3 linked regions of the Oryctolagus cuniculus genome follow. The protein of the gene in region 1 interacts with the protein of each later gene in a pairwise test. Links are inferred from orthologs where the notes say so. Each region holds a gene or a part of one and is shown in the gene's direction. Other genes may lie near its edges.

What was found.
Region 2: the proteins of XRN2 (region 1) and TARDBP interact in binary tests that used the Homo sapiens proteins (3 or more experiments, as listed by UniProt). The link is inferred for Oryctolagus cuniculus from reciprocal best matches to the Homo sapiens genes XRN2 and TARDBP.
Region 3: the proteins of XRN2 (region 1) and DISC1 interact in binary tests that used the Homo sapiens proteins (3 or more experiments, as listed by UniProt). The link is inferred for Oryctolagus cuniculus from reciprocal best matches to the Homo sapiens genes XRN2 and DISC1.

The regions. Positions count from the first base shown.
Region 1 is NC_091442.1:45,837,459-45,848,212, forward strand, and holds the start of XRN2 (5'-3' exoribonuclease 2), read left to right. Parts: upstream 1-5,485; 5' UTR 5,486-5,596; coding exon 5,597-5,671; intron 5,672-10,754. UniProt on the Homo sapiens protein: Possesses 5'->3' exoribonuclease activity. May promote the termination of transcription by RNA polymerase II.
Region 2 is NC_091438.1:157,254,884-157,265,537, reverse strand, and holds the start of TARDBP (TAR DNA-binding protein 43), read left to right. Parts: upstream 1-751; 5' UTR 752-1,139; intron 1,140-1,474; exon of another isoform or gene 1,475-1,611; intron 1,612-1,913; 5' UTR 1,914-1,927; coding exon 1,928-2,165; intron 2,166-6,310; coding exon 6,311-6,474; intron 6,475-7,881; coding exon 7,882-8,022; intron 8,023-8,896; coding exon 8,897-9,067; intron 9,068-9,404; coding exon 9,405-9,935; 3' UTR 9,936-10,654. UniProt on the Homo sapiens protein: RNA-binding protein that is involved in various steps of RNA biogenesis and processing.
Region 3 is NC_091444.1:51,495,483-51,506,136, forward strand, and holds part of DISC1 (disrupted in schizophrenia 1 protein), read left to right. Parts: intron 1-6,464; coding exon 6,465-6,741; intron 6,742-10,654. UniProt on the Homo sapiens protein: Involved in the regulation of multiple aspects of embryonic and adult neurogenesis. Required for neural progenitor proliferation in the ventrical/subventrical zone during embryonic brain development and in the adult dentate gyrus of the hippocampus.

The DNA.
Region 1 (10,754 bases):
CTAGGATTTTCTAGAGGCTGAAATTTTTTCTATCATGTCCTAAGGGAGCATCATTTTCATAATATGATCTCAGAAGGGAAACTCAAAGAACAGTTGGCAGGTGTTTAGACCAAAAAATGGAAAGCTGTCATAATACATTTCTGAATAAAATTTAATTTTACTGCTTCCCTGGGCATTTTGTCGGAGAAGCTGGAACGAGGCCAAGCAGTCTGGAGTTACAGGTTAATGAGCTCTCTGGAGGAAGTTGTGGGGAGCTACAGAGCCAGGGAAGCATCCTGGGAGGCGCCACTCCCTTCCCTTCTTTCCCGACCAAAAAAAAAAAAAAAAAAAATCCTCTTGGCCTCCCCAGTGGCACACAGTAAATGCCCAACAAATGTTCACCTAAGGAACGACTGAGCAGGAGCAGTTTCAGTGCTAGAGAAAATGCAAAAAGACAACTTGCAGACTCTGCCCTGCACCCCTGAACCTGTGTGGAGACTCAGGTCCCATACATATTTTTGACATTTTAAAATGTAAAGATATATTTACTTAGTTGAGAGGCAGAGTTACAGACAGAAAGAGGGAGAGAAAGAAAGAAAGGTCTTCCACCTGCTGGTTAACTCCCCAAATAGAGGCAACAGCTGGAGCTGCCGGCCTGTGACCAGGAGCCAGGAGCTTTTTTTGGGTCTCCCATGTGGGTACAGGGGCCCAAGCACTTGGGCCATCTTCTGTTGCTTTCCCAGGCCACAGCAGAGAGCTGGATCGGGGTAGAGCAGCAGGGCTTGAAGCAGCTGGCACTATAGACAGGTTTAACCTACTATGCCTCTGTGCTGGCCCCCCTTTAATTTTTTTGAGATAGCATTTTTACACATTATAGTCAAAGGCTTCATGGTGCTACTAAATAAAAAGTTCAACAGATAAAAAGGAAAAAGATCACAGTCCAGCAGGAAGATAGGCAAGGGCTGCATACAATAATCAAAGGACAAGATGTTGAACTTCACTCATAGAAATTTTGAAATATTCACAAGATCATTAATACTACAGTAGTTTGTAATTCCTATCAATTTGTTGGACAAATATTTAAAACAAAGTTTGACAAAACATTGTATTTGCAATACATGAGTGTTACTTCTTTTCCTTTATTTTATTTTTTAAAGATTTATTTGAAAAGGTTTCAGCAACTGTGAGGGAAAATATTTCATCCACTGGCTCAATCCCAAGATGGCCACAACAGTCAGGGCCCAGGAAGTGTATCTTTTAACTTTAGGTCACCTCGAGCTGTTTCCCTTCTTGAAACATACTTTTTAGATATACAAAACTTGCATATATTTATGGGGTACTATGTTTCCATACATGTATACTGTGTAATGTCTCATTAGGGTAAACAGACTTATCTCTTCAAACATAAACATTTCTTTATGATGAAAAACATCCCAAATCCTGTCTTCTAGTTTTCTTTATTATTATTATTATTTTTGACAGGCAGAGTGACAGTGAGAGAGAGAGAAAGAGAGAAAGGTCTTCTTTTGCCATTGGTTCACCCTCCAATGGCTGCCTTGGCTGGCGCACTGCGGCCGGCGCACCGCGCTGATCCAAAGCCAGAAGCCAGGTGCTTCTCCTGGTCTCCCATGGGATGCAGGGTCCAAGAACCTGGGCCATCCTCCACTGCCTTCCTAGGCCACAGCAGAGAGCTGGCCTGGAAGAGGGGCAACCGGGACAGAATCCGGCGCCCGGACTGGGACTAGAACCCGGTGCTGGTGCTGCAGGCTGAGGATTAGCCTATTGAGCCACGGCGGCAGCTCCTATTTTATCTTTTTAAAAAAGATTTATTTATTTATTTATTTGAAAGGCAGAGTGCCAGAGAGTGGGTGTATGTTGTCAAATCTGCTGGTCCACACCCCAACCCCCACAGCTAAAGCCAGGAGCCAGGAACTCCACCCAGATCTCCCACATAGGTGGCAGGGGCCCAGCTACTGGGTCATCTTCTGCTGCCTTCCCAGGCACATCTATATTATCTCTGAAAGCTTTGTAATTTTGCCTTTCACATTTAGGACTATAATCAAATAGGAGGGTTGTGTGTGTATGTGTGCGTGTGTGTGTGGTTTAGTTCTAGGTAGAATATTCATGTTTTCCAGTTAGCTAAGGAATGATTACAGCAGTATGTTTTTTTTTTTTTTTTTAAAGTATCCCTTCCCCACTTTTCTACAGTACGACGTGTCTTATTCAAGTGTTCATACATATGTAAGTCTATTTGGGACCTCATTTTCCTATTGCCTATTCTTGAACCAATACTCTTACTGTCTTTTAATTTCCCAAATCTCATTTCCTGATTAGCATCTTTTCACCAACAAAGTGCATTGATTTCTAAAGGTCCTAAACTTGTTTTATTTAGATTAAAAACAAAACTCTGAAGAACAGCTCTCCATTTAGCTCAAGAAAAACTGATTTAGAATTGGAAATAAATTGTTTGGAGGCTTCTTCCACATAAAATAGCAAAAGCACATGACAATTCGCAAGTTAATAAAACTACTGTAATAAGGTTCTCTAGAGAAACAGAATTCTATTACATATATACAATATACATATAATAACATAGATACTATCCCAAGGGCATTCAAAATGTTCAAGGAAATTTTTATTATCTTAAAATTAAATTTGTCTATGAATTTTCTGAAGTACCTTCGTAATTCTACCTGCAGAGAGACAGTTATCATAAGGATTTGCCACACCCAGTTATAGAGACCTGGAAATTCAAATCTGCAGTGTGAGTCAGCAGGTTCAAGACCACTCAGGAGAGAAGACAGTGCTGATAAAACACGAGGACAATTGGCTGGAGAATCCCCTCTTGTCTGGGGACAGGTCTTCATGTTCTACACATGTCTTCAACTGACTGGATGACACCTGCGTATGTTAGTTATGGAGAGCAACCTGCATTACTGATTAAACTTTTCACTCTCACTCAAGAATGTCCTCACTCAAACACCCAGAAGAATGTCTAAATATCTGAGCATCCTGTAGTCCCATCAAGTGGAAGCCAGTAATTAGTTACTATGACTACTATTTTAAGTACATCAGGTTATTCATAATGAATTTTGTAAGGCTAAAGAGGGAAAGGAAGCACTAAATGTGGGGAGCAACCCGGACTGGACTAAGTTACTGGAATTAAGACTTATTCTATGCATCTGCTCTCCCACAATATGGCGCTGGGAGAGGAGAAAACAGCTTCTACGCAGCTGCCTCTTGCCAACTTGAGTGATGACCTCCAGGAGCTGATCCTGCTCCTGATTGGAGGAGAGCAGCGTACTCGGCGTGTGGGCAGCCGAGTTGGGATTGGCGGAGGAGGACTATAAAAGAGGAGAGAGATGGCATGCACCAGGAACATCTAAGGGGAACATCTATCTGAAGGAACACCTGTGCAGCCCCCAAGAGAGCCGGCCGGCGGTGTGCCGCTCCCCTGCGGAAGTGGGGAAAGTGGCCAGGGGGAACCGCCCTTCCACGGAGGTGGAAGGGACGGCAGCCAACCCGGGAAGAACCAGCAGCAAACCCGGGGAGGGCCGAGCAGACGAAAGAACAACGCAGGGTCCTGTGTCGTTCCTCCGCAAAGAGGGGGAGCGACAACTAAATAATCCAGAGACCAACAGTAGGCAGAAAACAAAAACACAAAGACTCTTTCCTATGGTAATTACAATGGTAATGGGGCTTAAAATCAACTTGGGTTTACAGACATTCTGGCTTTTAAATACTGTATATTTTTCACACTATTCTTGATATCCATATAATCCACTGGTGTGTGTGTGGGGGGCTTTTCTGGCTCCTTCAGTCTGGGCAAAAATGTTTAAAAAACCTCTGATCTCCCAGCTGGTGGAAATCCAAAGTCTGGTTCAACACTCTTGTAAATTCCGGCACTCATAAATTCCCACTTAGTTGGCTTCTTGAACTCTGCAATGTTGCCCAAGCCTGTGCTAGACCATAGTGATCCCAACACAAGATCTATTCTCTTCATTTCCCCGAGAAAAACTCACATCCAGTATTAGTCCTGACACATTAGGCTGATGAAGGCATCGCAACATTTAGTTCGTATCTTTTGGGTTTCTCCTACCTTTCTCTCTTCTGAGCACCCAAATCTCCAATTTTTATGCCTCTTTGCAAACTTATCCAGATGAATTAACTGTGCACTTCCCAAATTTTACTACTAGTTTGTTGGGACTCTTTCCTTCCCAAGGGATAGGAACATCAGTTAACCATGCTTATGGTAAAAATTACTATTATTATTATTGGCTCATAAAATCAAAGGATAGGCTTACCAACCAAACTGTGGAAGGGATTTTAGCTGGAGCTCACAAACCATTGGTCTCAGGGACTTAACACCTGCTTCTCTCATTGCACGATGGCAATAAGTTGAATTTTGCTCTTCTAGTTTGGGAGGCGCCACCTCCCATTCCTCACAGCTCGAAGTTCTCAACCGTTGGGCAAGGGTTCTCAATGAATGACTCAACCTGACCACGGCCTATCCCTGCATTCCCTGTGATGTGTGTACATTTCCTGTACATGCATAGCAGCTTGGAGCAGAGCCAGATACTTGTCAAAGGAGGGGCCGTCTCTAGGTAAAATGAGGAGTCTCCCCAGAAATAGAACCCTCTGGGATAGTTCTGGCTATTCTCCCATAAAATATGGGATAACTCGAATACCCACACCAACACAGTGTCATCAGAGCACAGGGGACGGGGCGGGGCAATGAATAGTGTGCAGGGGAACCCAGAGAAATACCCTGCTTTCTTAGAGGCCTCTTGAGGTGAGCCTTTAGGATTGAGTGTGATTTATCAGACCAAGAGGGGATTCCAGGGCAAGAGCCTTCTCAGGCTTGAGTAAATGGACATAAATGGCTCCTCTTCCAGACCTCCCCTTCCACCTGCTGACAAAATAAACGCATCGGAAGCCATCAAAAGTATGTCAGTGCAAAGACAGACGATTAATCGATCTTTGCTTGAACCGAAATTCCAGCTGGGTCAATCAGCAAGTGAGTTAACCCTACAACTTGGCTTTCTCATGCGCAGTACGTTAGAGGAGTGTAATGACAGTGCCTTCAGAAGGCTTAAGTGACAGTTAAACGAGATAATCCCCTAGCACAGTCGGGGCTAGGAAGTGCAGAGGAGTGCCACCAGCAGGTATTTTCACAGTCCTCAAGGCTGCACTGGATGCTAAATGCCACCTCAACTCCACCCTGCAACTATGTGGAGTGAGTTATTTATGCAAACCAGCCTTATTACAGTACAACACTTATAAACAGTCCTCCTGACAGTCCGGTTCACCGCAGAAACGGAGGGAGTCAGCCGACGTCCCCGCAACTCGGACTCACTCCGGGCCTGAGACCACCTGGCGCAAGCGCGCCGCCCACCCCTCCATCCACAAGCAGCCCAGCCCGGGACCACCCGGACCCCGCGGGCCGCTCCGTCAACCTAGCGGCGAAGTCCCCTTCCCGGCTTCCTCGGCGGTGACGCCGTGACATCACTTCCGGTCGCTGGCGCGCACGTGGGAGGAAGTGCCGGTGTCGGCGGCGGCCGCTCTGCCTGTCTCTCCGGTTACGCTGGTCCGCTGGCCCGGCCGCTGCGCTGCCGCTATGGGAGTCCCGGCGTTCTTCCGCTGGCTCAGCCGCAAGTATCCGTCCATCATTGTCAACTGCGTGGAAGAGAAGGTGAGGAAGCGCCCGGCGGCCGTCACGCTAGCGCCCGGGAGGCCCCGGAGAGCCTAGGCCGCGGCTCTCGGGCCCGCCGCCTGTCTTCAGATCCCGGGGAGCCCGCACTCCTCTGTCGCAGCCCCGCGGGCGGCCGTGGTGGGACGCGGGGTTGACCGCGGGCGCTCGGAGTCTGGGGGTCCCGAGGAGCGCCCGGGGCGGGGCAAGGGCCGTTCGGGGTCGGAACTGGCGGGAGAGCCGCTCCTCCCCTGCCCGCTTTTTTTTTTTTCCCTTTCCGATACCGGAAGGCCCCGCCCACGGCTTTGTTTCCTCCGGGGATCGCGCAGTTTGGGTCTGGCCGGAGGCTGGGGACGGGCCGTGCGGAGTTCGCCTGTTAGGGAGGCGCGGGTGCTAACCCTGCCTGTAACAAACTGCCTGGTGCAGTGACCCAGGGGGCGGGCTTTTTTTGTTTGTTTCGTTTGTTTCCTGGCCCCTCTCTCGAGGGTCTTCCCCGGCGTGTGTGTGGCCGGTTAGTTGCTCTTGGTGGGATTTCAGGTTAAAGCACGTTGGAAAGTCGAGGGCTAGGTGGGAGTGTGGATGAGTGCCCCCCTCTTCTCGGCGTGCGCTGGCTGACTCGTGTGCGAGCCGAGTCGGGGTGCTTTCAGTTTGCAGGATTTTTCCTGCACGCTCTCTGAACGGAGGCGTGGGTAGAGCTTGCGAACTGGGCAAGGCCTGGGGGCGCTCCCAGTCCCCTTTCGCTGGCACCCATCGGGAAGATAACTCTGATTTTTACTTTTTTTAGCTGCAATCCGGGGAGAATCCGAAAGCCTGGTTTTGGTGGCATTCGCGGTCTTCCTGGTGCTCTGCTTAAAGCGAATGTTTCTTAAAGACTTCTACCACTTCTACCAACCTTTCATTACACTTTTCCTTGCGCTGGGGTTGAACGAATACAGACAATACTAGTTCCTTGTTCCACACCTTCCCCTCCCGTTTCTCCGCTCAGAACTGTTTCGCTTCTGTGTAAATACTTGATGTGTCAGTTTTGCGCCCAGCTGTTGAGTATCAGCCGTGATGGAGGCCTTAGTTACTTTATAACTTTAAGTAATGTGCCTTTGTTTTTTAAGGCCATCCCTAGTACAAGGTATCACTTGGTGCTTTTCAGAGCTTCATCTCCGTTTTTCTCTCTCCGCTTCCGTTTCAGTGGGAGTCTGGTTTGTCAGATGTCGTTTTATATTGTTGGCATCCAAAGTTGAAAATTGTTGGTGTTTTGACTCCACAGATTTGTTGTAAAGTCTGCAAGCTCAGATGTTATTGTGGTTATCGTTACTGCAGATTCAGATTTTGTACTTTGATTCTGTGTCTTTTGCTTTTTTTCTGCTTTGGTGTTGCTTTTTTTTTTTTTAAGATTTTATTTATTTATTTGAAAGTCAGAGTTACACAGAGAGAGCAGAGGCAGAGAGAGAGAGAGAGGTCTTCCATCCGATGGTTCACTCACCAGTTGGCTGCAACGGCCAGAGCTGCGCCTATCCGAAGCTAGGAGCCAGGAGCTTCCTCCGGGTCTCTCACGTGGGTGCAGGGGCCCAAGGAATTGGGCCATCTTCCACTGCTTTCCCAGGCCATAGCAGAGAGCTGGATCGGAAGTGGAGCAGCTGGGTCTTGAACTGGCACCCATTTGGGATGCTGGCACTTCAGGCCAGAGTGTTAACCCACTGTGCTACAGCATCAGCCCCAGGTGTTGCCTTTTTTTTCCCCACTTTACAGCTTTCCGCATCCTAACTTGACGTTTTCTATTCTCTTGGAGATTCCTCTGGGGTCTATGTTGGAAGGTTTCCTTTTTTATTTTTAAAATGCCTTTCTTCAGAGAGCTTCTTTTATTTTTTTTTTTAAGATTTGTTTTTATTTATTTGAAAGAGTTACAGAGAGGAGAGTGAGAGTGAGAGTGAGAGAGAGAGAGATCTTGTATCCACCAGTTTACTCCCCAGATGGCCATGAGGGCCCCAGGCTAGGCCAGTAGCCTGAGCTTCTTCCCTGTCTCCGATATGGATGGAGGGGCCCGGGTACTTGGACCCTCCTCTGCTTTCCCAGGCACATTAACAGGGAGCTGGATTGGAAGTGGAGCAGCTGGGACACAAACTGGTGCCTATATGGGATGCCTGCGATTCAGACAGTGGCTTTTACCCACTACGTTGGCCCCAAAGTTACTGTTACAGAGCATTATCGTTCATGGCTTAAATGCTTCCTTTGTTTTTGATTCTCAGTTGACTTTTTTAAAAAATAGTGTTTGACAGGGCTGGAGCTGTGCTGGAGCTGATAAAGCTGCTGCCTGCAGTGCCAGTGGGATGCCGGTTCAAGTCCTGGCTGCTCCACTTCCTGTCCAGTTTTTTTTTTTTTTTTTTTTTTGACAGGCAGAGTGGACAGTGAGAGAGAGAGAAAGGTCTTCCTTTTCCGTTGGTTCACCCCCAAACGGCCGCTGCAGCTGGCGCACCGCGCTGATCCGAAGCCAGGAGCCAGGTGCCTCTCCTGGTCTCCCATGTGGGTGCGGGGCCCAAGGACTAGGGCCATTCTCCACTGCACTCCTGGGCCATAGCAAGAGCTGGCCTGGAAGAGGAGCAACTGGGACTGAATCCGGCGCTGCAGGCAGAGGATTAGCCTATTGAGCCGCGGCTCCAGCCATCCCATCCAGCTTTCTGCTATGGCCTGGGAAAGCGTTAGAAGGTGGCCCAAGTGCTTGGGCCCCTGCACCCATGTGGGAGACCTAGAAGCAGCTCCTGGCTCTGGATCAGTCCAGCTCCAGCTGTTGTGGCCATTTGGGGAGTGAACCAGCAGATGGTAGATGGATTGATCTCTCTCTCTCTCTCTTTCTTTCTCTCTCTCTTCCTCTGCCTCTCTGTGACTTCGCCTTTCAGACAAATAAATAAATCTTTAAAAAAAAAATATTGTTTGAGAGGTGAGTTTTCTGACTCATTGTGGGGCTTAACATCTCCATTCAACCCTGATACACATGAATCAGCATTCATAGCTAGGAATAGAATTCAGGTAATGAAAATTATCTTTTTTTTTTTTTTTTTTTTTAAAGATTGATTTCTTTGAAAGGGTTACAGAGAGGGACAGACAGGGAGAGAACTTCCATCTACTGGTTCACTCCCCAAATGGCCACAGTGACCAGGGTTAGGCCATGCCAAAGCCAAGAGCCTGGAACTGCATCTGTGTCTCCCTTGTGGGTGCAAGGCCCAAGGAGTTAGGGCATTTTCTGCTACTTTCCTAGGTGTATTAGCAAGGAGCTGGATCAGAAATGGAGCAGCCAAGACTAGAACTGGCACTCTTATGGGATCCTGGTATCACAGCAGGTAGTTTAGCCTGTTGTACCACAACACAGGCGCCTAGCTTTTTTTTTTTTTAAATAAACTAGTTAATGTTCATAACAATTTCAGTGTGCGAGTGATTTATTCATTTAACTTACAGATGGCTAACACTTACATTTACCATGCTAGGCAACTTTTGACTGTATTGATTTTCTTTTTTCCCCAAAGAAATTTTTATTTAAGGAACACAAACTTCATGCATTTCTTTTTTTTAAGATTTTTTTTTATTTATTTGAGAGGTAGAGTTATAGGCAGTGAGAGGGAAAGACGGAGAGAGAGATCTTCCTTCTGTTGGTTCACTCCCCAGATGGCCACAACGGCCGGAGCTGGGCTGATCCGAAGCCAGGAGCCAGGTGCTTCTTCCAGGTCTCCCACATGGGTGCAGGGGCCCAAGCACTTGGGCCATCTTCTACTGCTTTCCCAGGCCATAGCAGAGAGCTGGATTGGAAGAGGAGCAGCCAGGACTAGAACCACGCCCATATGGGATGCCAGTGCCGCAGGCAGAGGATTAACCTGTTGCACCATGGCACCGGCCCTCATACATTTCATAAGTACAACTTTAGGAATATAGTGGTTAAAGTTTAATTTTATTTACTTGATTTTATTTTATTTATTCAAGAGAGAGGTCTCCCATCCTTTGGTTCACTCTCCAGACAGCCACAATGGCTGGGCCTGGGCCAGGTCAAAGCCAGGAGCCAAGAGTTTCATCCAGGTCTCCCACATAGGAAGAAGAGGCCCAAGTACTTGGATCATCTTCCACTGCTTTCTATTGATTTTCTAAAGGCACTGTTCTAATCACTTTTGACTGCTGGTTTACTTACTACTGTTATTACTGATGAGAAAGCTGAAACACAGAAGGATTGAGTAACAAGTCTAAAGGCCCTGAGCTAAGAAACATCAGAACCAGGGCAGAAACAAGGAAGGATGTGCTCTTTGTGAAGATCTACTTTCATTATTCGGTGTGGATCAGCTTTTCGTTCTGAATTTTATGTTTTCCTTGACAGTATAAACGGCCCTGATTCTGTACGTAGGCATAACTTTTATCTTAGGTCTAGAATATTGTGTTCTTTAGTTTTAAGTATTTCTTGACCTTTTCCCCCTTCTCTCTCTAAACTCAATATGGGTCCTCCAAGAATGATTTGTTTATTTTCATTGATAAATTTATTGTTTGCTTATTTCAAAGCAGAAAAAGAGACCGATCTTCTGCTGTTTCCCTTCTCAAATGCCCACAACAGCTGAAATGGGCCTAGCCAAAGCAGGGGCATAAAACTAACCCAGGCCTCTCATATGGGTGGCAGGAACACTCGCACTTGACGTTATCTATCCGCAGTAACAGAAGCCAGAATCTGAAACAGAGCTGGGGCTCAGGCACTCCAGTATGGGATGAGGGCATCCCAAGGAGGAGTCTTAACTGATGTGCCAAATGCCATCCTGTGACTGATTTTTAATTTTTTGTCCTCTGGCTCCCCCCCCCCCCCGCCCCCATTTCTTCCCTGTTTGTAGCTTTATTGAAGTACAAATGACAAAAAATAAACTACTTCTGTGAAGGGTGGAATTCCATGCAGCCATCACTACAGTCAAGACAATGAACTTGACCTCTAAAACATTCCTTCCCCCACTTTGTAATTTCTCTCTCCTTCCCCTCCCTGCTGCTCTGTCAGTCAGCCACTGATTGGCTTTCATTCTCCTTGATTTTGTGTGAATAGAATTATACCTTATATGTTCTCGCTCTTTTTTTTTTT
Region 2 (10,654 bases), on another chromosome or scaffold:
TCTGGCTCAGCCCTGATCATTGTGGCCATTTAGGGAGTGAACCAGCAGACAGAAAAAAATAAATAAAACTGGGGTCGGCGCTGTGGCGTAGCGGGTAAAGCCACCACCTGCAGTGCCGGCATCCACATGGGCGCTGGTTCGAGTCCCAGCTGCTCCTCTTCGGATCCAGCTCTCTGCTGTGGCCTGGGAAAGCAGTAGAAGATGGCCCAAGGGCCTGGGCCCTGCACTCGCGTGGGAGACCCAGCGGAAGCTCCTGGCTCCCGGCTTCCGACCCGCCCAGCTCCAGCCGTTGCGGCCACTTGGGGAATGAACCAGCGAACAGAGGACCACTCTCTGTCTCAAATTAAAAAAAAAAAAAAAAAAAAAAGACTGCTGCCTCCTCCGCGGCCCACACAGCCACGTCAGCCATGAGAAACAACAGGGGCGTCTGGCTGGGGCGCGGGGCCGGGCCCACACGCGGGGAACGTGCTAGAACGCTAGCTCGGGCCTCAGCGTTCAAATGCCGGGTCTCCCATTTGTCCCGACCCACTCAACCGCTGAGCCCGGGCCTCACGGAGAACACGAGAGCTTAGGACAAGGCGGTTGTTCCCAGGTGTGTGTGCGGGGTGGGTGCGGGACAGTTAGAAGCGGCACCTGCCCCCCTCCACGCACGAGAACTCCGCGGCCCCGGCCCACAGGCCCCGCCCCGCCGCCCACGCCCCGCCTCGCCCTTCCGGGACCGCGCTCGTCTCGCGCACTTTCAAAGTGCGCGAGCTCCGGCCGAGACCCGGGGCCGACGGTTGGTCGGACGGAACCATCTGCTACGTTGCGTGGGGGGAGCGGAAGGCCTCCACGCCCACTTTTTTTCCCCCAAGTCTTTAACTTTCCAGCCCAAGTGCTGGTTCACGGTAGCGTTCAAATCCTCTCCGCGTGCTCATACTCTCAGGAGGAACCCAGTCTCCAGGATAAGGGCGGGTGTGGGTCCGTGCGGCGTCCTCCCCCTCTCGACGGGGAGCCGGTGGAGAGGACGACGGCCGGCGGGGGGAGGAGGAGGCGGCCCTAGCGCCATTTTGTGGGAACGAAGCGGTGGTAGCTGCGCTGCTCTCGGACCCCGGGCTGCTTCCGTCTCCCCGTCGGGCTCCCTAGCAGCGGCCTAGCGGGTGAGTCGCGGACGCTTCTCACTGAGGATGCCCGGGGCGCCCCGGCAGCTTCGGGCAGGAAGGGAGCCGTGGGGCCCTGCCCGAGCGGGCTCGCGCGGGAGCGTCGTTAGGGCCCGGCGCGGACTGGCAGCCGGCGCCCGGACAGGGACGCGGGGCCCGCGGGGCCTCGGGCGGAGTTTGGGCCTGGTCTGTCCGGGCCGGGGCAGCGCGAGTGCGATCGGGACGTGCGCCGCGGGGGCCGGCGGCCAGCCCAGGCCTGTGCCCCTGCGGCCCCACCCAGGGCCGCGCCGCAAACTCCGCCCTCGGCCGTCACGCGCTGGCTGCCGGGAGGGGCGGCTCGCCCGAGGCCCGGCTCCGGGAGCCCCGCCGAGGACCTTGCTCGCTGGCGGCTTCGCCCTGCTGGGCGCCCAGGCTTCCGTAGGGACGTGTGCCCCGGCCCGCGCGCCGGTGTAGGCTGCCCCGGCCCCCAGCGGTAGGTTTCTCAGGACTGCAGTGCGAGAGTTGGGGGGTGACCGTGTGTGCGGGGGCTGCCCCCGGGGCCACGTGGGGACTCGGGACGGTCGGAAGCAGCGGACTGGCCGGGCGGCGCGTTTTCTAGAACGTGTCCCTGGCCTCCCCCGTTCTCCAGGGCTGACCCCCACGCAGGACAGTGCGAACAGCAGTTTACTTGTTGGAAGTCAGGACAATAGCGGCGGCGGTGTTAGCACGTGGGTACAGGGGCGTGAGCAGCCTCGCGCGAGCCCGGGTCACCCGTGTGTCTTTTTCCTTTTGAAGAACAACAAGGGAAGATGTCGGAGTACATCCGGGTCACGGAAGACGAGAATGACGAGCCCATCGAGATACCGTCCGAGGACGACGGCACCGTGCTGCTGTCCACCGTGACGGCCCAGTTCCCCGGCGCCTGCGGGCTGCGCTACCGGAACCCGGTGTCGCAGTGCATGCGGGGCGTCCGGCTGGTGGAGGGGATCCTGCACGCCCCCGACGCCGGCTGGGGGAACCTGGTCTACGTCGTCAACTACCCCAAAGGTGGGTCCCTGCCACCTCGCTGGGGGACCCTGGTCTGTGTTGTGGGCTACCCCAGAGGTGGGGCCCTACCACCCCACCCCGCTGGGGGACCCTGGTCTACGTAGTCACCTACCCCAAAGGTGGTTCCCTGCCACCCCGCTGGGGGACCCTGGTCTACGTAGTCACCTACCCCAGAGGTGGGGTCCTACCACTCCACCCTGCTGGGGGACCCTGGTCTACGTAGTCACCTACCCCAGAGGTGGGGTCCTACCACTCCACCCTGCTGGGGGACCCTGGTCTACGTAGTCACCTACCCCAGAGGTGGGGCCCTACCACCCCACCCTGCTGGGGGACCCTGGTCTACGTAGTCAACTACCCCAGAGGTGGGGCCCTACCACCCCGCTGGGGGACCCTGGTCTGTGTTGTGGGCTACCCCAGAGGTGGGACCCTGCCAGCCCGCGGGGGGACCCTGGTCTGTTGTCGGCTACCCCAGAGGTGGGTCCCTGCCACCCCACTGGGGGACCCTGGTCTGTGTTGTCGGCTACCCCAGAGGTGGGGCCCTACCACCCCACCCCGCTGGGGGACCCTGGTCTACGTAGTCACCTACCCCAGAGGTGGGGCCCTACCACTCTGTGTGGAGCTGCGGCGTGGACTGGGGCTGCTGTTTGGCAGGACGTTTCTAACCCTAGCATTGCCCTAAACTTCAGTGTCAGGCTGACTTGGGAGACCACCCCTCTAAACTAGGGAAAGTGAGAAAGCTGTGTGTAAGCTGTCATCTGCGCACGCGTGGCCGAGTGGGTAATAGGTGTGTCTTGCAGATAGTGTCCTGCCTTGCAGATAGGTTTTTCTATAGCACCAGGTAGTTTGCTTTGATGGTGGTCTTTCTTTTGTTTGTTTGTTTGTTTTTATTTCACAAAGTTATAGACAGAAAGGTCTTCTTCCGTTGGTTCACCCCCCAAATGGCCGCTATGGCCGGCGCTGTGCCGATCAGGAGCCAGGTGCTTCCTCCTGGTTTCCCATGGGGTGCAGGGCCCGAGGACCTGGGCCATCCTCCACTGCACTCCCAGGCCACAGCAGAGAGCTGGCCTGGAAGAGGAGCAACCAGGACTAGAACCCGGGGTGCTGGTGCCGCATGTGGAGTATTAGCCACGTGAGCCACGGCGCCGGCCGGTGGTGGTCTTTCTGGTCATTCAGTCAGCTCTTCTGAGTTCTTAAATCATAGAGCAGACCTTGGGTGAGGGCAGTGCCAGCTGCAGTCGTGGGGGTTCTGAGGCTGCACTCGCTGCCTCTCAGCACTGATGTCCTGGATGAGAGGAGCAGCGTGGGGGTGTGCTGGCTGACCCAGCTCCTGCTGCTGGGGCTGCCCAAGTCAGCCGACTGCAGTTGGCAAGTAGGCAAATAGCTGACTTTAATGTGTGTCCAGAAAAAAGTAGAAACTCAAATTTCTTTAATACGCTGTTCCTTGAGCAGTTGACTACAAATTGCCGTCTGCCCCAGTTTACAGTGTCACTTAGGTGGGGTGCTGGTTGCCCTGTCGCGGTGCCCCCTGGGCCAGCACCCTGCCGATGCACTGGGGGAAGCAGCAGAGGCCGGCCTGAGCGCGTGAGCCCCTGCGCCCGTACGGGGGATCCAGGTGAAGCACCTCGCGTCTGCCTGGCCCAGCCTTGGGCGTTGCAGCTGTCTGGGGAGTGACCCAGCGAATGGGAGATCTCCTTCTGTCTCTCCTCCTTTATCTGTAGCTCTGCCTTTCATAAGTCATTTAAAACGATGCCGCTTGGTGGGGCCAGTGCCGTGGCGTAGGGGGCTAAGCCTCCCCCTGTGGTGCTGGCATCCTGTATGGGCGCCGGTTCAATTCCCAGCTGCTCCTGTTTGATCCGCTCTCTGCTGTGGCCTGGGAAGGCAGTGGAGGATGGCCCAGGTGCTTGGGGCTCTGCACCACTTGGGAGACCAGGAGGAAGCTCCTGGCTTCAGATCAGCTCAGCACTGGCCGTTGCGGCTATCTGAGGAGTGAGCCAGTGGATGGAAGACCTTTCTCTCATTTCTCCTTCTCTCTGTAACTGTAACCTCTCAAATAAATAAAATCTTAAAAAAAAAAAAAAAAGATGCCGCTTGGGGTGTCTGCATGCGACACTGGAGTGCTTAGGTTAGGTTTGAGTCGCACCCGCCTCTGCGTCCACGTCCATTTTCCTGCTCATGGACGTCCTGGGAGGCAGCAGGTGATGATTCAGGTCGTTGGGTTGTGGCCTGACAGTGTGGTGCCGTGGGTGCTGCCGTCCCATATAAGCACCAGTTCAAGTCTTCACTGCTCCACTTCTGATCCGGCTCCCTGCTTATGCCCTGGAGAAGCAGCAACAGATGACCCAAGTGCTTGGACCTCTGCTACTCACGTGGGAGAACCAGATGGAGTTCCTGGCTTTAGCCCATGCCTGGCTGATGGGGCCATTTAGGGAGTGAACCAAGGGATGGAAGGGGGCCTTTTGTTATTGTATTTTAAAGATTTATTTATTGGAAAAGCAGAGAGAGCTTCTATCCCCTGCTTCACTCCCCGAGTGGCTGCAGTGGCCAGGGTTGGGCCAGGAGCGAGTGGCAGGGATCCCAGTACCTGGGCCTTCTGCTGTTTTCCCAGGCACATTAGCAGGCTGTTAGTGCCCACGTGGGATGCCAGGCGTCTCACGTGGCAGTTCAACCCACTGCACCACAATGCTGGGCCCATAAATAAATCTTTTTTATTTTTTAAGATAATTTATTTGAAAGGCAGAGTAACAGAGAGAGAGGGAGATAAACAGAGTTCTTCCATCTGCTGGTTCAGTCTCCCAGGTGACCACACTGATCAGGACTGGGCCAGGCCAAAGCCAGGAACTTGTAACTGGTCTCCAGCGTGGTTCAGGAGCCCAGGCACGTAGGACATCCCATGCTGCACTCCAGGCACGTTAGCAGAGAGCTGGGTTGGAAGAGGAGCAGCAGGAACTCCAGCCGGTTCCCATAAGGGATGCTGGTGCCGCAGGCTGTGGCCTTAACCTGCTACACCACAGTGCCAGCCCCGCAAATAAATCTTTCCCAAAAAAAGGGTCAGGCTGAGTCCTTGCCACCCATGGGGGAGACCCGATTAAGTTTCCTGCTCCTGGCTTTGGCCTGGCACACCCCAGCTGTGTGGGCGCTTGGGAAGTGACGCAGCAGACCGGAGATCGAGTCCCTCCTTCACGCCTGCGTGCTCTCTGCTTTTCAGATAAAGAATGTCATTTAGTTCATCTCCTTTCTAAATAACCTTAAGATTAGGTTTGGCTTTTAAAAATAACCCGAGGTTTTTGTTTGGTTTGGTTTTTTAATGGCACAGTTTGTGTTTATTGTTGAAGGCTCAGGAAAGACAGGAAACGTCCACAGCTGGAGCTGAAGTGCAGGCATCCAGAGAGGCAGGCAGAGGCGTGTGCTCTAGCATGTTTCACTTATTTGAGAGCAGAGAGAGACAGAATGGGCTCCCCTCTGCTGGCGGACTCCCCAGAGGCCCCACTGGCCAGGACTAGTCCAGGTCAAACTGGAGGAGGATTATTTTTGTTTCGGTAAAGCTTCTTCTTTTTTTTTTTTTTTTTTTTTTTTTTTTTTTTTTTTTTTTTTTTTAAGAGAGAGAGATATTTTAATTATTTATTTGAGAGGTAAGGTTGCAGAAAGAAAGGTCTTAGAGTCACTGGTTCACTCCCCAAATGATAGCAATGGCCGGAGCTGTGCTGAGGCCAGGAGCCAGGAGCCTCTTCCAGGTCTCCCCCATAGATGGAGGGGCCCAAGGACTTGGACCATCTTCCGTTTTCCCAGGCACGTAATGAGGGAGCTGAATCGGAAGTGGAGCAGCCAGGACTCGAACCAGTACCCATGTGGGTTGTTGTGAAGTATTAACCTGTGCCACAGCGCCATCCCTGGGTAAACCTTTGAGAAGGAGGCTATAGATGAGATTGTGATCTTGAGATACTGCGAAGCCGGCGTTAGGAATCTCAGCCATTGGGAAAGCGCCGCAGCCCCTTGTCGGAGCCTCCTCTGTCTTGAGTGCTGACGTCACTCTTGGCCAAGCGTTTTCAGTCTTCACAGATTGATTTCTCGGGGTGGGAGGCAGTATGTTTTAAAGGGACGTGCTAAATGAAGATTTTTTTAAGAAGATTTCTGTTCATTTTGCTCAGATAACAAGAGAAAAATGGACGAGACCGATGCTTCGTCAGCAGTGAAGGTGAAGAGAGCCGTGCAGAAAACATCGGACTTGATAGTGCTGGGGCTCCCCTGGAAGACGACCGAGCAGGACCTCAAGGAGTACTTCAGCACCTTCGGAGAAGTTCTCATGGTGCAGGTAAGCTGGACTCGCTCAGCGGCGGACACGCAGCTCCCTGGCTCTTACTTCAGTGGCACTGTCTTTCGTGTTTGGATGATTATTTTTAAAGCAGAAAGCAGCAAATTTTTTTTTTTTTTTTAAGATTTATTTATTTGAAAGGTGGAGTTCAGAGGCAGAGAGAGAGAGGTGTCTTTCATCACTGGTTCACTCTGCAAATGGCCGAAACAGCCAGAGCTGGGCCAGTCCGAAACCAGGAGCCTGCAGCTTCCTCCAGGTCTCCCACGTGAGTGCAGAGGCCCGAGGACTTGGACCGTCTTTGCTGCTTTCCCAGGCCATGGCAGAGAGCTGGGTTGGAAGTGGAGCAGCCGGAACTCGAGCTGTTGCCCACATGGAATGCTGGCGCTGCAGGCGGCAGCTTTACCCACCATGCCACAGCGCCAGCCTGTTGGAGGGTGTTCTAAAGTCCTCATACAAAGTTAGCAGAGGACGCCTGGCTTACATGGTTCCCTTTATTCATGCCCACACGGGACCTTCGATGTTGTAGAATCCTGTGCCTTGAAGGCGTAGGGGAGTAGGTGACATTGAGTTTTTCCTTAAAAGATTTATTTATTTTACTTGAAAGAATTACACACACACACACACACACACAGAGAGAGAGAGAGAGAGAGAGAGAGAGAGAGGTCTTCCATCCGCTGGCTCACTCTCCAATTGGCCGTAGCGGCTGGAACTGCGCTGATCCAAAGCCAGGAGCTACTTCTGGGTCTCCCACGTGTGTGCAGGGGCCTTTAAGTGTTTAAAGGAACGGGAAATTTTTCTGCTTTTCCCATGTGATTAAGTTTGTAAACACTGACGACTGGCGTTGTGGCACAGCAGAACAGTGGGCTAAGCCGCTGCTTGGAATGTCAGCATCCCCTGTTGGAGTGTGGTTTCCAGTCCTGGCTGCTCCACTTCCAATCTTAGTAGGCCTGGGAAGGCGGCAGGTGGTGGCCCAAACACCTAGGTCCCTGCGGTCATGGGAGAGACCTGGAAGGAGGGCCTGGCTCATCCCCAGCTGCTGTGGCCATCTGGGGAGTGAACCAGTAGATAGAGTCTCTCTCTCTCTCTCTCTCTCTTTCTCTCTTTCTCTCTTTCTCTCTTTCTCTCTTTCTCTTGCTCTACCCTTCAGATATATTAAAAAATTTTTTTAAAGCTGGCACTTATTGTAAAACATTGTTAAAATTCTGTTGTGTCACTTGAGTTTTACTCTGTCCATTAACATGATCTGGATCCCTCTTGCTGCCTTTTATTTTCCTCAGTACTTAGCTTCATCGACATCCTAATTCAGCCACTGCGTTCATGGAAGCCGTTCAGTTTTCAGGAACTTTTGATTTAGGACTGCGAGTTTGAGTGCATGCGGATATTTTAGGAGTAAATTGTCTCTTCTAGGTCAAGAAAGATATTAAAACTGGCCATTCCAAAGGGTTTGGCTTTGTTCGTTTCACGGAGTATGAGACGCAGGTGAAAGTAATGTCCCAGCGGCACATGATAGATGGACGATGGTGCGACTGCAAACTTCCTAATTCTAAGGTACTTGGCTCTCCCTCTGTGGGTTGGGGATTTTTACTGACAGGCTTTCTTAGAAAGTGCTGTAAAATAAAACATTAAGTACAAGGGGGGTCTTTAACAAAATTGATGAAAGGTACGTATTTATGAAAAACAACTGAATTTTTTTAAATTTTTTGCTCCAGAATTTTTTTTTTAAGATTTACTTATTTACTTGCAAGTCAGAATTATACAGAGAGAGGAGGAGAGGCAGAGAGAGAGGTCTTCCATCTGCTGATTCACTCTCCACTTGGCCACAGCAGTTGGAGCTGTGCCAATCCGGGGAGCCGGGAGCTTCTTCCAGGTCTCCCGTGTGGGTACAGGGGCCCAAGGACGCTGGATCGGAAGTGGTGCAGCTGGGACTCAAATCAGTGCCCCTATGGGATGCCAGCACCTGCCACGCCACAGTGCCAGCCCCTCCAAGATATTTTAATTCCATTTTCCATTGACTTTGTTAAGTGCCCGCATATGCTTGGGAAAGGCAGTGGCAGGATGTGTTACAGCTTTTGCCTTGTAACTCTTCCAAACTGAAACTTTGCTCGCGTTATTCATGAGTTAATGTTTCCTGCACGGGTGTCTGTTGAAACGTGAAGACGTACAGCGTGTCATACGTTCACCTTGTTATGTAGGCCTGACAGAGCAGTCCTTGTTCAGAGCGTCGTCCCGTCAGGGCCATTCCTGTCGCTGGCTTTTCCCAGGTCCCGTCGCTTTCCTAACTCTGAAGTCTGGTCTTGAAGTCTTGCTGGAGGGAAAGGGCTGGTGGCTCCCTCGCAGGATCCCTCTGCTGTAACCAGACAGACTCTGCTGCTCTCCTCGCGCCCCCCAGCTCTGTCTGACCTCTCCCCTTTCCCTTGGCCAGCAAAGCCCCGACGAGCCCTTGAGAAGCAGGAAGGTGTTTGTGGGGCGCTGCACGGAGGACATGACTGCTGACGAGCTGCAGCAGTTCTTCTGCCAGTACGGGGAGGTGGTGGACGTGTTCATTCCCAAGCCCTTCCGAGCCTTCGCCTTCGTCACGTTTGCAGATGATCAGGTATTTTGCTTGGTGATGCGTCGCAGTGGACAGCCATCCTTAGCTACGCTTTCTGGGCTTGTACGGCAGCGGGATGTGTGGGCTTAGACACGTGTGAGACGAGCAGTGGGTAGCTTTCAGTATGTGCTGTTGGAGAGTATTACATGGTCTTGAAACAGAGTGAGATGCCCCCGCTCCGTGACTACAGCTAAATAAAGGCTGTGCTGCAGAACAGCTAGCGTCGTCGTATTTCTCTCCAGCGTGGATAAATTCTGCGTGCAATCTAGATTTTGTTTCTGCTTATTAGGTGTGTGTTCCGTGGCTTAATCTCCTTTGTCTGCACCCTTATTTCTTACAGGTTGCCCAGTCTCTTTGTGGAGAAGACTTGATCATTAAAGGAATAAGCGTCCATATATCCAATGCCGAACCTAAGCACAATAGCAATAGACAGTTAGAAAGAAGTGGAAGATTTGGTGGTAATCCAGGTGGCTTTGGGAATCAGGGTGGCTTTGGTAACAGTAGAGGGGGTGGAGCCGGCTTGGGGAACAATCAAGGTAGTAATATGGGTGGGGGGATGAACTTCGGTGCTTTCAGCATTAATCCAGCCATGATGGCTGCGGCGCAGGCGGCACTGCAGAGCAGCTGGGGGATGATGGGCATGTTAGCCAGTCAGCAGAGCCAGTCGGGGCCTTCGGGCAATAACCAGAGTCAGGGCAACATGCAGAGGGAGCCCAACCAGGCCTTTGGCTCTGGCAATAACTCCTACAGTGGCTCTAACTCGGGTGCAGCGATTGGTTGGGGATCGGCATCCAACGCAGGGTCAGGCAGTGGTTTTAACGGTGGCTTTGGCTCCAGCATGGATTCGAAGTCTTCTGGCTGGGGAATGTAGACCGTGGGCTGTGGTTGGTTGCTTAGAATGGTGGGAATTCAATTTTTTCTAAACTCATGGTAAGTATATTGTAAAATACATATGTACTAAGAATTTTCAAAATTGGTTTGTTCGGTGTGGAGTATATTCAGCAGTATTTTTGACATTTTTCTTTAGAAAAAAAGGAAGAGCTAAAGGAATTTTATAAGTTTTGTTACATAAAGGGTTGAAATATTGAGTGGTTGAAAGTTGAACTGCTGTTTGCCTGATTGGTAAACCAACACACTACAGTCGATATCGAAAGGTTTCTCCTGTAATCTCTTATCCCTGGACTTGTCAAGTGAATTCTTTGCATGTTCAAAGTGGAAACCATTGATTTAGAGCTACATTCTTTTCTCCTTGTTTTAATTTGAACCCCACCATACGGATTTTTTCCTTAGGAAAGTCTTCCTCTCGGGAGATGATGGTGTCACGCAGTGTTTGGTTCTTTCGGTTTTGTTTTTAACACTTGTCTCCCCTCATACAAAAGTACGATATGAAGCCTTCATTTAATCTCTGCAGTTCATCTCATTTCAAACGTTTATGGAAGAAGCACTTCGCTGAACGTAGTGCTGTAAACATTCTGCCATAGGAATACTTCTGTCTACAGCTTTCTCTTTCAAGAATTGGTCGTCACGCCGCGCGGGCTGCGTCTCTGACGGTGGGTGTCCCATTTTTATCCAGTACTCTTTATTTCATGG
Region 3 (10,654 bases), on another chromosome or scaffold:
GTTAAATACAGACTGAAGCAACAAGATACACTTCACCCCATCAGATGGGCTAAAATTAGAAAACAAAAACACCAAAGTCTAGCGCTCTTAGGGATTATTGCTTCTCAGGGATACCAGAGCCCATTCCTTTCCTCTGATCTAGGGCATTGCTTGGGAATTCTGCCCTCTCCCTTTGTCTTTTATTGAAAATTCAATTGGCACAGAGCTTCATCAGAAAGGACAATGGATGCATTGCTTGATGAAATTTCTTTTTTTTTTTAAATTGCTACTTTTTAAAAAAAATTTTACTTAAAGTTTACGAATTTCATGTATTACCTATATACAGATTCAGGAACACAGTGATACTTGTCCAACCTACCCTCCTTCCCGCACACACTCCCACCATTCTTCCTCCTCCCTCTCCTATTCCCATTCTTATTTTTTACAAAGATCTATTTTTCAGTTAATTTTATACTTATAAGATTAACCCTTCACTCAGTAAAGAGTTCACCGAATAGTATGAAGGAAAAGAACCACTGTTCCTCAACACTTGAGACAAGGGCTGTTAAAAATCAAAATGAGCGTCCTCTCTGACATGTTAAGCCCCCTTATGCCTCTCTGACTTGCTGCTCCTCTTCTCCCTAAGGTTATCACTATCCTGATTAATAACACCATGGAAAATACAAATGGAATCATAGTGCATACTTTTTGTCTTGTTTTGTTTTTGTTCACCGTTATATTTATGAGTTTCATCTATATGCTTATATATAGCAATAACCCTTCCATCTTCTTCGCATATGATATTCTATCAAATGTATGTTGCACAATTTATTTGTCCATTCTGCCATTTATGGACATTTGGTTTTTACTCCAGATTTTGTTACAAATAATGTGACATGATCATATATACAATTTATCTTTATTATTCATGTATTCTATATTTCTGATTCAACTACTCATTAAAGTTTATTTGTAATTTCAAAATCAACATTCCCACAACTTTCTCTGTCATTCAGGGACGTACACAGACTGGCAAACACTTTGCATCTCCCACAAGCTTGTTCCCAGTTCAGGCTGATCAAAGCAAAGCTGCCTTCTTTTTTCAGCTCTCATATTGTAAACAAGTATCCTTTTTGCCTTTCCATTTAGTGCCATGTTTTTCTTCTTTTTATGCTCTTTTTTTTTTTTTGGAGGGGAGGTCATTTTGTTGTTTACAAAGACCCCCAAGTGCAGGGCCAAAGTGCCATATAGTGTTCCTTACCATAGGGAGACTGTGAAGGTGCCTTATGAAGAAAACACATATTACAAAAGCTCCACAACATGCATGAGTTATATAATCCTGTTAGCAGTTAGCTCAGTGTTAATTAACCAGCAGTGTATATTAAATAGGGTATCTTTAAACAGAAGCACACATATATATTGATCAGTTGATTAAAAATTTATGATCAGAGACTCAATTTTGTGACAGGAATCTCACCTATATTTCCTCCAGGAGCAGTGATTTTTTTTAGAGCATTTCTATTGTGAATAATAAAAGTCAGCTTATATATGTATTTTATTTTATAAATACTTAGAAGTTGTATTCATGGGTCATATGATTGACCTATTGTTCCACATTAGTAGACAGATAAAGAGTTTTCAAAGATATTCCATTTATGCACACTCCCACTGGCAGTGTGTGAGAACTCTCATAATTCCATATCTTTTTCAACCCTTGATGTGGTAAGGTTTTTTGTCATCTTGTTGATTTGTAGTACATCACTCTGTGGTTTAATATGCTTTTTCCTGATGATTAATGATGTTTCAGCATCTTTTCATGAGTTGCTTATTGATCATTCAGATGCCCTCTTTTATGAAGTGCCTGTTTAATCTTTGCCCACTTTCAAAATTGGGTTTTCTGTCTTTTTCTAATTGACTTTAGCAGTCCTGTTAATGTCTGGAACCAGTCTTTTATTGGTTATATATATTACAAATAATTTCTCCCACTCTGCAGCTTACCGTTAATTCTGTTAATGATTTTTTTTTTTTTTGACAGGCAGAGTGGACAGTGAGAGAGAGAGACAGAGAGAAAGGTCTTCCTTTGCCGTTGGTTCACCCTCCAATGGCCACCGCGGTCGGTGCGCTGCGGCTGGCGCACCGCACTGATCCGATGGCAGGAGCCAGGTACTTCTCCTGGTCTCCCATGGGGTGCAGGGCCCAAGTACTTGGGCCATCCTCCACTGCACTCCCTGGCCACAGCAGAGGGCTGGCCTGGAAGAGGGGCAACCGGGACAGAATCCGGTGCCCTGACCGGGACTAGAACCCGGTGTGCCGGCGCCGCAGGCAGAGGATTAGCCTAGTGAGCCGCATAATGAAGTTAAATTTATCATTTGCCTATGTTTAGTATTTTCTGCTTGTTTTTACAGTCTGCTTACCACTGTCATAAAGATATTACTCTGTTATCTTCTACAATCCACCTGAAATTTCTATTTTTATCATGTGAGTTATTAATCATGATTTAGTGTATTTCTATAGTGATATATAGTTACCATAACAAAATATGTTCAAAAGGTTGTCTTTTCACACTTTATCTCTGATAATGCTTTGATGACATTGTATCATTCCTATCCTTTTACTTACTACTTGTTCATAAGCTTATAATTAATGCATGTCTCCTGTAAACTCTATATAATTAGATTTTGATCTTTTATTCTAATCTAAGATCTTTGTCTTTTAAATATATTATTTATCTACTTATATTTAATGTAATTCCTGATCTATTTGGGTTTACATCTTTCCACTATTTTTCACATCTGTTTCATGTTCAGTTCTTCCTCTTATTGTTTTCATTAAAGTAATAATAAAGTTGTACTAATTGTTAAAATTCTCTTCCATATTAGCTTGCCTCTTATATACTCTTTTACTTTTGTGTTTTATGATTACTATAAAGAGTTCAGTGTGAATCCTTGACTTTTCAGTCTAATATAAATGGACATTTTTACTATTTTCTGGACAATTCTAGGATCTGAAAATATTTTAGTTGCTGTTGCTTTCTCCTTCCCTTTGCACTGATTGTCATGTATTTTAATTTTACATGTATTTTAGACCATAAGTAGTCTGGGTGCTCGTGACTGTGGGAGGTTTGTGTGCCGGGACTGTGAAAACACTGAAGCTGTGTGGGAGGACTCAAGGTATGGCTGGACATTGGCCAGTCACTGTGGGAGGCTCTACACAATCAGGACTTCCTGGTTACCTGGCAAGGGACATTGTTGAGTAATCTGAGCTTACACTGAGGACTACCTAGATTCTTTGTGTGGTCCTTGTGGCACAGCAAACAAATAATATACTCACTGGGGCAGGCGCCCAGGCACTGGTCTCCTTCAAGGAGAGGAGCTCAGCTAAGTCTATGCCAACAGACAAGAATAAAACTCCCCTCTGATGAAAAATAAAAATTAAAAATTAAAAAGGAGATTTACCACACCAAATCTGAGTGTGTCACCTCAGACACCCTTCACCCTGGAGCACTGAGCAGAGCTCCCTGGCCACACCCACCACATGCTTCTAGGTATTCCTGAAAGCAGACACTCCACTGATCCATCTAGATATAATCCAGAGGTAAAGTCTCCACAGTGAACAAAGCAAAGAAGAAACCAACGAGTATCTCCACAAATGTGGGATAACAAATGCACCAGTTCAAGAAACAAGAATAAAGAAAACAACATGACACCCCCAAAAGAATGCACTTCAGTTCTAGACTGTGAAGATGATGAGATTGAAAAAATGCCACAAATGGAATCCAAAACATTGATCATAGGATTACTTAGAAGTAATCAGAAGCAAATGCACAACTAATGAATTCCATACATGACATGAAAGAAAATTTCTCCCATGAAATTGAGATCTTAAAGAGAAACCAAATGAGGCCGGCGCCGTGGCTCACTAGGCTAATCCTCCACCTTGCGGCGCACCGGGTTCTAGTCCCGGTCGGGGTGCCGGATTCTGTCCCGGTTGCCCCTCTTCCAGGCCAGCTCTCTGCTGTGGCCAGGGAGTGCAGTGGAAGATGGCCCAAGTGCTTGGGCCCTGCACCCCATGGGAGACCAGGATAAGCACCTGGCTCCTGGCTTTGGATCAGCACGGTGCGCTGGCTGCAGCGCCCCGGCTGCGGCGGCCATTGGAGGGTGAACCAACAGCAAAGGAAGACCTTTCTCTCTGTCTGTGTCTCTCACTGTCCACTCTGCCTGTAAAAAAAAAAAGAGAGAGAGAGAGAGAAACCAAATGAAATCTTGGAAATGAAAAATTCAATAGAACAAATAAAAAACAAAAAAACACAGTGGAAGCCTTAACAACAGAATCAGTGAAACAGAAGAAAGAATATCCAACTTAGACGACAAAGCACAGGAAATTATACAATAAGACCAAACACAAGAAAAAGAAATTAGAAAAATAAAAAACACTGTTGGGAATCTATAGGATACTATCAACAATCAACAAATGCTGGTGAGGATGTGGGGAGAAAGGTACACTAATCCACTGTTGGTGGGGATGTAAACTGGTAAAACCACTATGGAAGTCAGTTTGGAGATACCTCAGAAATCTGAATATAGACCTACCATAGGACCCAGCCATCCTACTACTGGGTATTTACCCAAGAAAAATAAAATAAGCAAATAAAAGAATTATCTGCACCACCATATTTATGCAGCTCAATTTACATAGCTAAGACATGGAATTCACCTAAATGCCCGTCAAGGGAAGACTGGATAAAGAAATTATGGGATATGTACTTTATGGAATACTACATAGAGGTAAAAAAAATGAAATCTGGTCATTTGCAACAAAATGGATGAATCTGGGAAACATCATACTTAGTGAAATAAGCCAGTCCCAAAGGGACAAATACCATATGATCTCCCTGATCTGTGATAACTAATAGAGCACCTAAAAACAAATCTGTAGAATGAAATTGACACTTTGAGAAGCAATGACTTGAACAGCCCTTGTCTTGACTGTTGAAGAACTTTTTTAAAAATGGAGAATGGGACTGGGAATGGGAGAGGGAGTAAGAGGTGGGGTGAGATTGGGGGTGGGAGGGCAGGTATGGTGGGAAGAATTACTATATTGCTAAGATTGTACTTATAAAATTTGTACTGATTAAATAAAAGGTTTCTTTGAAAAAAAAGTATCTATCATGAAATCAAATGGATGAATGAAAGATATACTTTTTTTAAATGCAAGATTTTTGAGTTTTCATGAAAAATGAAAAAATTTGTCTACCCCAAGTCCATGTGTCCTACAGATTTAATTGGACTGCACTTGTAACAGACTCCCTACAAGGAAATGTCCTTCCTACCAGCCAGAATCATTTCTTTCTGTTCTCTTTTGGCACCAAGGCTGAATATCTGTTGTGCATTTAATACCACCCCTGCTTGGCTCTCTTTATATGCATTGTATGCTGGGCACGCTAGCATTGGATTTTATGCTCCATGTTAATAGGTTCTAACAATGGAGTGGAAAACAAGATAGAAATAAGCCCTGACCTCAGAGAACAAACCAAAAATCATATAAATAATTAGGATTATGATAAGTAGTCTGAAGGAAAAGTACAAGATGTTAAAGAGAGAAATCATAAAATGTCTCTAATTGGAAGGGAGGGAAGGTTCCTGCAAGAAAAGTTTATTTAAGCTGAAATCTGAAGATACAGCAATTCAGCCGGATGTAGGTATGGGCATATATGGACTGCTGTTGTTTGATGGGAGAGAGATGGTCCAGGAAAATAAAATAGCACATGCATTTGTACTGAGCTGGGGAGAGTTAGGCAGATCTGAGGACCCAAAGAAAGTGCATAGGTTGGAACATCGATATGGACAGAGGCTATGTTGTATTTGGCCACTGGGTCTAGATGGTCTTGTAGAAGACCAAGTGGGCCGGCGCCGCGCCTCACTAGGCTAATCCTCTGCCTTGCAGCCCTGGCACACCGGGTTCTAGTCCCGGTCGGGGCGCCAGATTCTGTCCTGGTTGCCCCTCTTCCAGGCCTGCTGTCTGCTGTGGCCAGGGAGTGCAGTGGAGGATGGCCCAAGTGCTTGGGCCCTGCACCCCATGGGAGACCAGGAGAAGCACCTGGTTCCTGCCATCCGATCAGCGCGGTGTGCTGGCCACAGCACGCCGGCCGTGGCGGCCATTGGAGGGTGAACCAACAGCAAAGGAAGACCTTTCTCTCTGTCTGTGTCTCTCACTGTCCACTCTGCCTGTCAAAAAAAAAAAAAAAAAAAAAAAAAAAAAAGACCAAGTGGCTATGGAGGACCAACACTTATTGTGTGAGAACTTGATGGTATACAGATCTGGCACTCTGAATCTTCTGGCTGAAATAATTTGTTACAATATGAAATGAAATTAAGGATAACATGTCTAGCAGACTTCTATCTAGGTAAATAAGCTATTGACTTGGTCACCATTGATGAGTCACCATTGGGTTAATTTTTATGCTTTTGTTTCCTCCTCTGCCTTAGCTGCAAGTGTCCCCTGCTTGGAAGAGTGTGGGAAGCTGACTTGGAAGCTTGTCGACTGCTTATTCAGAGTCTGCAGCTACAGGAAGCCAAAGGCAGCCTGTGTGTGGAAGATGAGGGGCAGATGGGTGACTTAGAAGGAGCTGCCTGGGCAGTGGCTCCCAGTGTCCCTCCCAGTCCCCACTCTGAAGATGAGAGGACGACCCTTCTGCAAGCTGACCAAGAGTGGAAGGCTCATCATACCCCCTCCCCTCTATGCAGAGGAGGCGAACAAAAAGAGGTGTGTCCTGTCGGCGTGGCCTTCACAGGAAGGCCTGCTCTGGTGGGTGCTTTGGGACCATGCTGTACACAGAAGCAGCACATTTTGGGCAGGCTTATCATCAAACCACACAAACTTGGAAAAGTTTTTTTTTTTTTTTTTTTTTTTTGACAGGCAGAGTGGACAGTGAGAGAGAGAGACAGAGAGAAAGGTCTTCCTTTTGCCATTGGTTGACCCTCCAATGGCCGCCGCGGCCAGCGCACCGCGCTGATCCGAAGGCAGGAGCCAGGTGCTTCTCCTGGTCTCCCATGGGGTGCAGGGCCCAAGCACTTGGGCCATCCTCCACTGCCTTCCCGGGCCACAGCAGAGAGCTGGCCTGGAAGAGGGGCAGCCGGGACAGAATCCGTTGCCCCGACCGGGACTAGAACCCGGTGTGCCAGCGCTGCAAGGCAGAGGATTAGTCTAGTGAGCCACGGCGCCAGCAAACTTGGAAAAGTTTTAATAGCTATTGAATATGATTACAAAATTAAATAGAATTTTTATAGAAGAAATTTTAAACAGAGAAGGACAAGCAGGGAAAATGTTTAACATATTTAGTTTTATTTTTATACTAATATCATAGCTAGATTTAGAATATACAGGCTAATATAGAACTACTTTATATAGGCCACATTATACATGTCAAATATAACTTACAGTTATTATCAATATCCCATCCATGTCATATGTGACATTTAATTATATGTTTAGAATATATTATATTATTACTTTATGGAATTAAGCATTCAAGTATATGTCTACATACTACTAATTTTCTTTACCAAAATCAGATCATAATAAATGGTTGTAATGTGTTTTTTCATAAAAGAACAAGAACTAATATTTGGCCTGGGATATACGTACTACAAATGAAAATGTGGTTTTATTTGATTCTTTATGCTGGAGGCAGACTTGCATGAAGAGAGATGACCTCCCTGGCCTGCTGTCTCCTCCCCTGTCTTTCTCTTCCTCTCTGCTCCTATCCCTCCCCTCTGCCCTCTCTCCCTGTCTTCCCTCTCGAGTCTCCCTCTCTCTGTTCTTTCTCTCCTCTCTTTTTCTCTTGCTCCCCACCTCTCATTATAACAAAAGTCCTTTCAAGGAAAAAGAGCTCCAGGAACTTTGTCCTGATTTCACCGTATTCACTGTAGTCCTCAGGGCTCTTTGTGTGGCCAGGTTACCCGGTATTTTGAGCATGAAAAGGAAACAGAAGCCTGGAGGCTAGAAGAATGTGCTGCTTGGCTGTCTCATGGTTGATTTTAGACATTAAACCCTTCCCTGGGCCTTTGCCAGAACTCACCATGAATGGCTGGGGAGAGCATTCCTCTCCCCACCCCGCCCCATCACAGTTCACATCCTGTCTGCAGATCCGTGGTCTTTGCAGAGTGGCCAGTCATGTACTTTACTGGAACATGACATTTAGTCACAGCCTTCTGGACTGCTGAGAAATTTGACCCGCAGTCTTCTATGTGAATCGAATGAGCTTATGAGAACCCAGGCTGTTGTCAGTCTGGAATCGTTGCTGGCCAAATCACATTAGGTTCAATATGGAACTACAGATGATGGATCTAAGCTGCTTTGTTAATACAGCCACTGCAGGTGGAATCTTCCTGTTGACCTAAATAACACAGAGCAATTCTCCAAAGGTTAATATACTAAGTGAAAATTGTGAATATAATATAATTAGTGAAATATATTTAGTGAAAATAAAATATATATTTTACTGAAAATTGCAGTGGAAATATACAGAGCTTAGTAAACAATGTGCATTTCAAATAGGTTAAAATATGGGAAAGTTTTTAAGGGGAAAATGAGGAAGATGACTTAAATTGTTTTGAAACAATTATCCTTGGCTACAGGTGTAATAAAGGTGGTGTCAGTAGAAGCTTGCATAGGCAGACCAAGATCTACAGGGCAGACATCCTTGTAGAAGTATTTTCTGTGTGAAGTATTGGTGATTTTGTAATAGTTCTAGTTATTAGGCACACATGTGTGAGGTCTCCTCCTCTATAATCTCCTGGATTTATTTATATTTCTGTTAGGGATTGGTATTTTGAGACTGACCACTTTCTCACTCCCCAGCTTGGCCTCCAGTGGTTTAAGCAGAGATGTTGAAAATCTGCCGCCTGCTGCAAGTGGATGGGTCGAAAGCATCTATTCTGATGGAGCAAAGTGTCTCCTAAACATGGGGGTGAAAGCCCTGGAAGGAAGAAACTGCGGGCGACCAGGCTGAGCCTTTGAAGGCAGGGCTTCCAAAGTAGGCTCCCAGCAGGTGCTTCATGCAGGGTCCTGATGGAGGTCAGGATTGATTCCACCGAGCTGGTGTCTACCAGGAGTGCAGTCCCTCCCTGTAAGTGCCCATCCATGGAGAGTCCCAGCTGAGCCACCTGTAATGAAAGATTAACAAGGGAACAGATACACATTTATTTAACATTAAATTTTGGCTGGCACCACGGCTCTATAGGCTAATCCTCCGCCTGCGGCGCCAGCACACTGGGTTCGGGTTCTAGTCCCGGTCTGGGCACCGGATTCTGTCCCGGTTGCTCCTCTTCCAGGCCAGCTCTCTGCTGTGGCCCAGGAGTGCAGTGGAGGATAGCCTAAGTCCTTGGGTCCTGCACCCACATGGGAGACCAGGAGAAGCACCTGGCTCCTGGCTTCGGATCAGCGTGGTGCGCCGGCCACAGTGTGCTGACCGCATCGGCCATTGGGGGGTGAACCAACGGCAAAGGAAGACCTTTCTCTCTATCTCTCTCTCTCACTGTCCACTCTGCCTGCCAAAAAATATATAAATAAATAAATAAAAATAAATAAAAAATAAAAAATAACATTAAATTTTATGTGATATAGGAGTCTTCAGAAATGCAGTCTCAAAGAAAAAGGAAAATCTGTGTATTGTTATGCTTAGTGTCATGAACAAGTGGGCAGTTGTGGAGAACTGTGATTGAGCAAAAGGGGAATGGTTTAGTGGTCATAAAGTGGGGGGAACTTAGCAAGGGCTGTTGTGCAGATTCTTCTCTGTGTCCCTGTATCTTCACAGGTAAGGATGTTTCTTTCCTCTGAGTATAGGGAGGGCCTCTCTTATATCAGAGTCTTAGGAGCAGCTTCAGAGGAAGGCCACAGAACTCTTATGTGCCCTGCGAAGAAGGGCAGGAGGCAATCAGAGAGCTCCTCCTGCTTCTGCCATATCCACACATGCCAATGTGCCATATTTTGGATGGTTTGTCCTGAATACCATCACTCCTGCACCACGCTCTCCCTTCCTCACTGAGTTCCCTTGCCCACCAGGATCGGGGAGGGGGGGGGCGGGGATGACATTGCCAGGTACAGGGGGCTTTTCTTCATCCATCAGATTGTAAGTGCCTGCCGGTTCATTATCTGGTTATGGGAAAACAGGACTGTATTTGCCAAAAAAAGTAGGACATTAGGGAACAAGTATGCAAGAAGAATTAGAGATTTGCCTTATAATGACTTGAATCCCGTAAAAGTCCCATGGGCTGCCAACCATGTTCCATCCCTGAGCATCCTGGTTCCTCTCCACCAGTGGCCGAAGATGTCCCATGATTAGTTTGTGGCTTTCCTAGTGAAGGGGGGCTCTAGAGGGGACTTTAAAGTTTTTGCTGCCTTTCAGTGCCGTTGTCACATGTTCGTACTGCAACAGCAGGTTTAAACAGTGTCCCTCTTAGAAGTAACCCCCTTATACAGTAATCCCTTTATCTGTGGTTGCATGTTCCATGGTTTCTTTTATCCATGATCGTTTGCTAACCAAAAATATTACATGATAAATTCCAGAAATAAACAATGCATAAGTTTTAAATTGAGTTCCAAATAGTATGATTGAATCTCATGCCATCCTGCTCAGTCTGGCTTGCAAAATGAATCATTCCTTTGTCCAGCATAG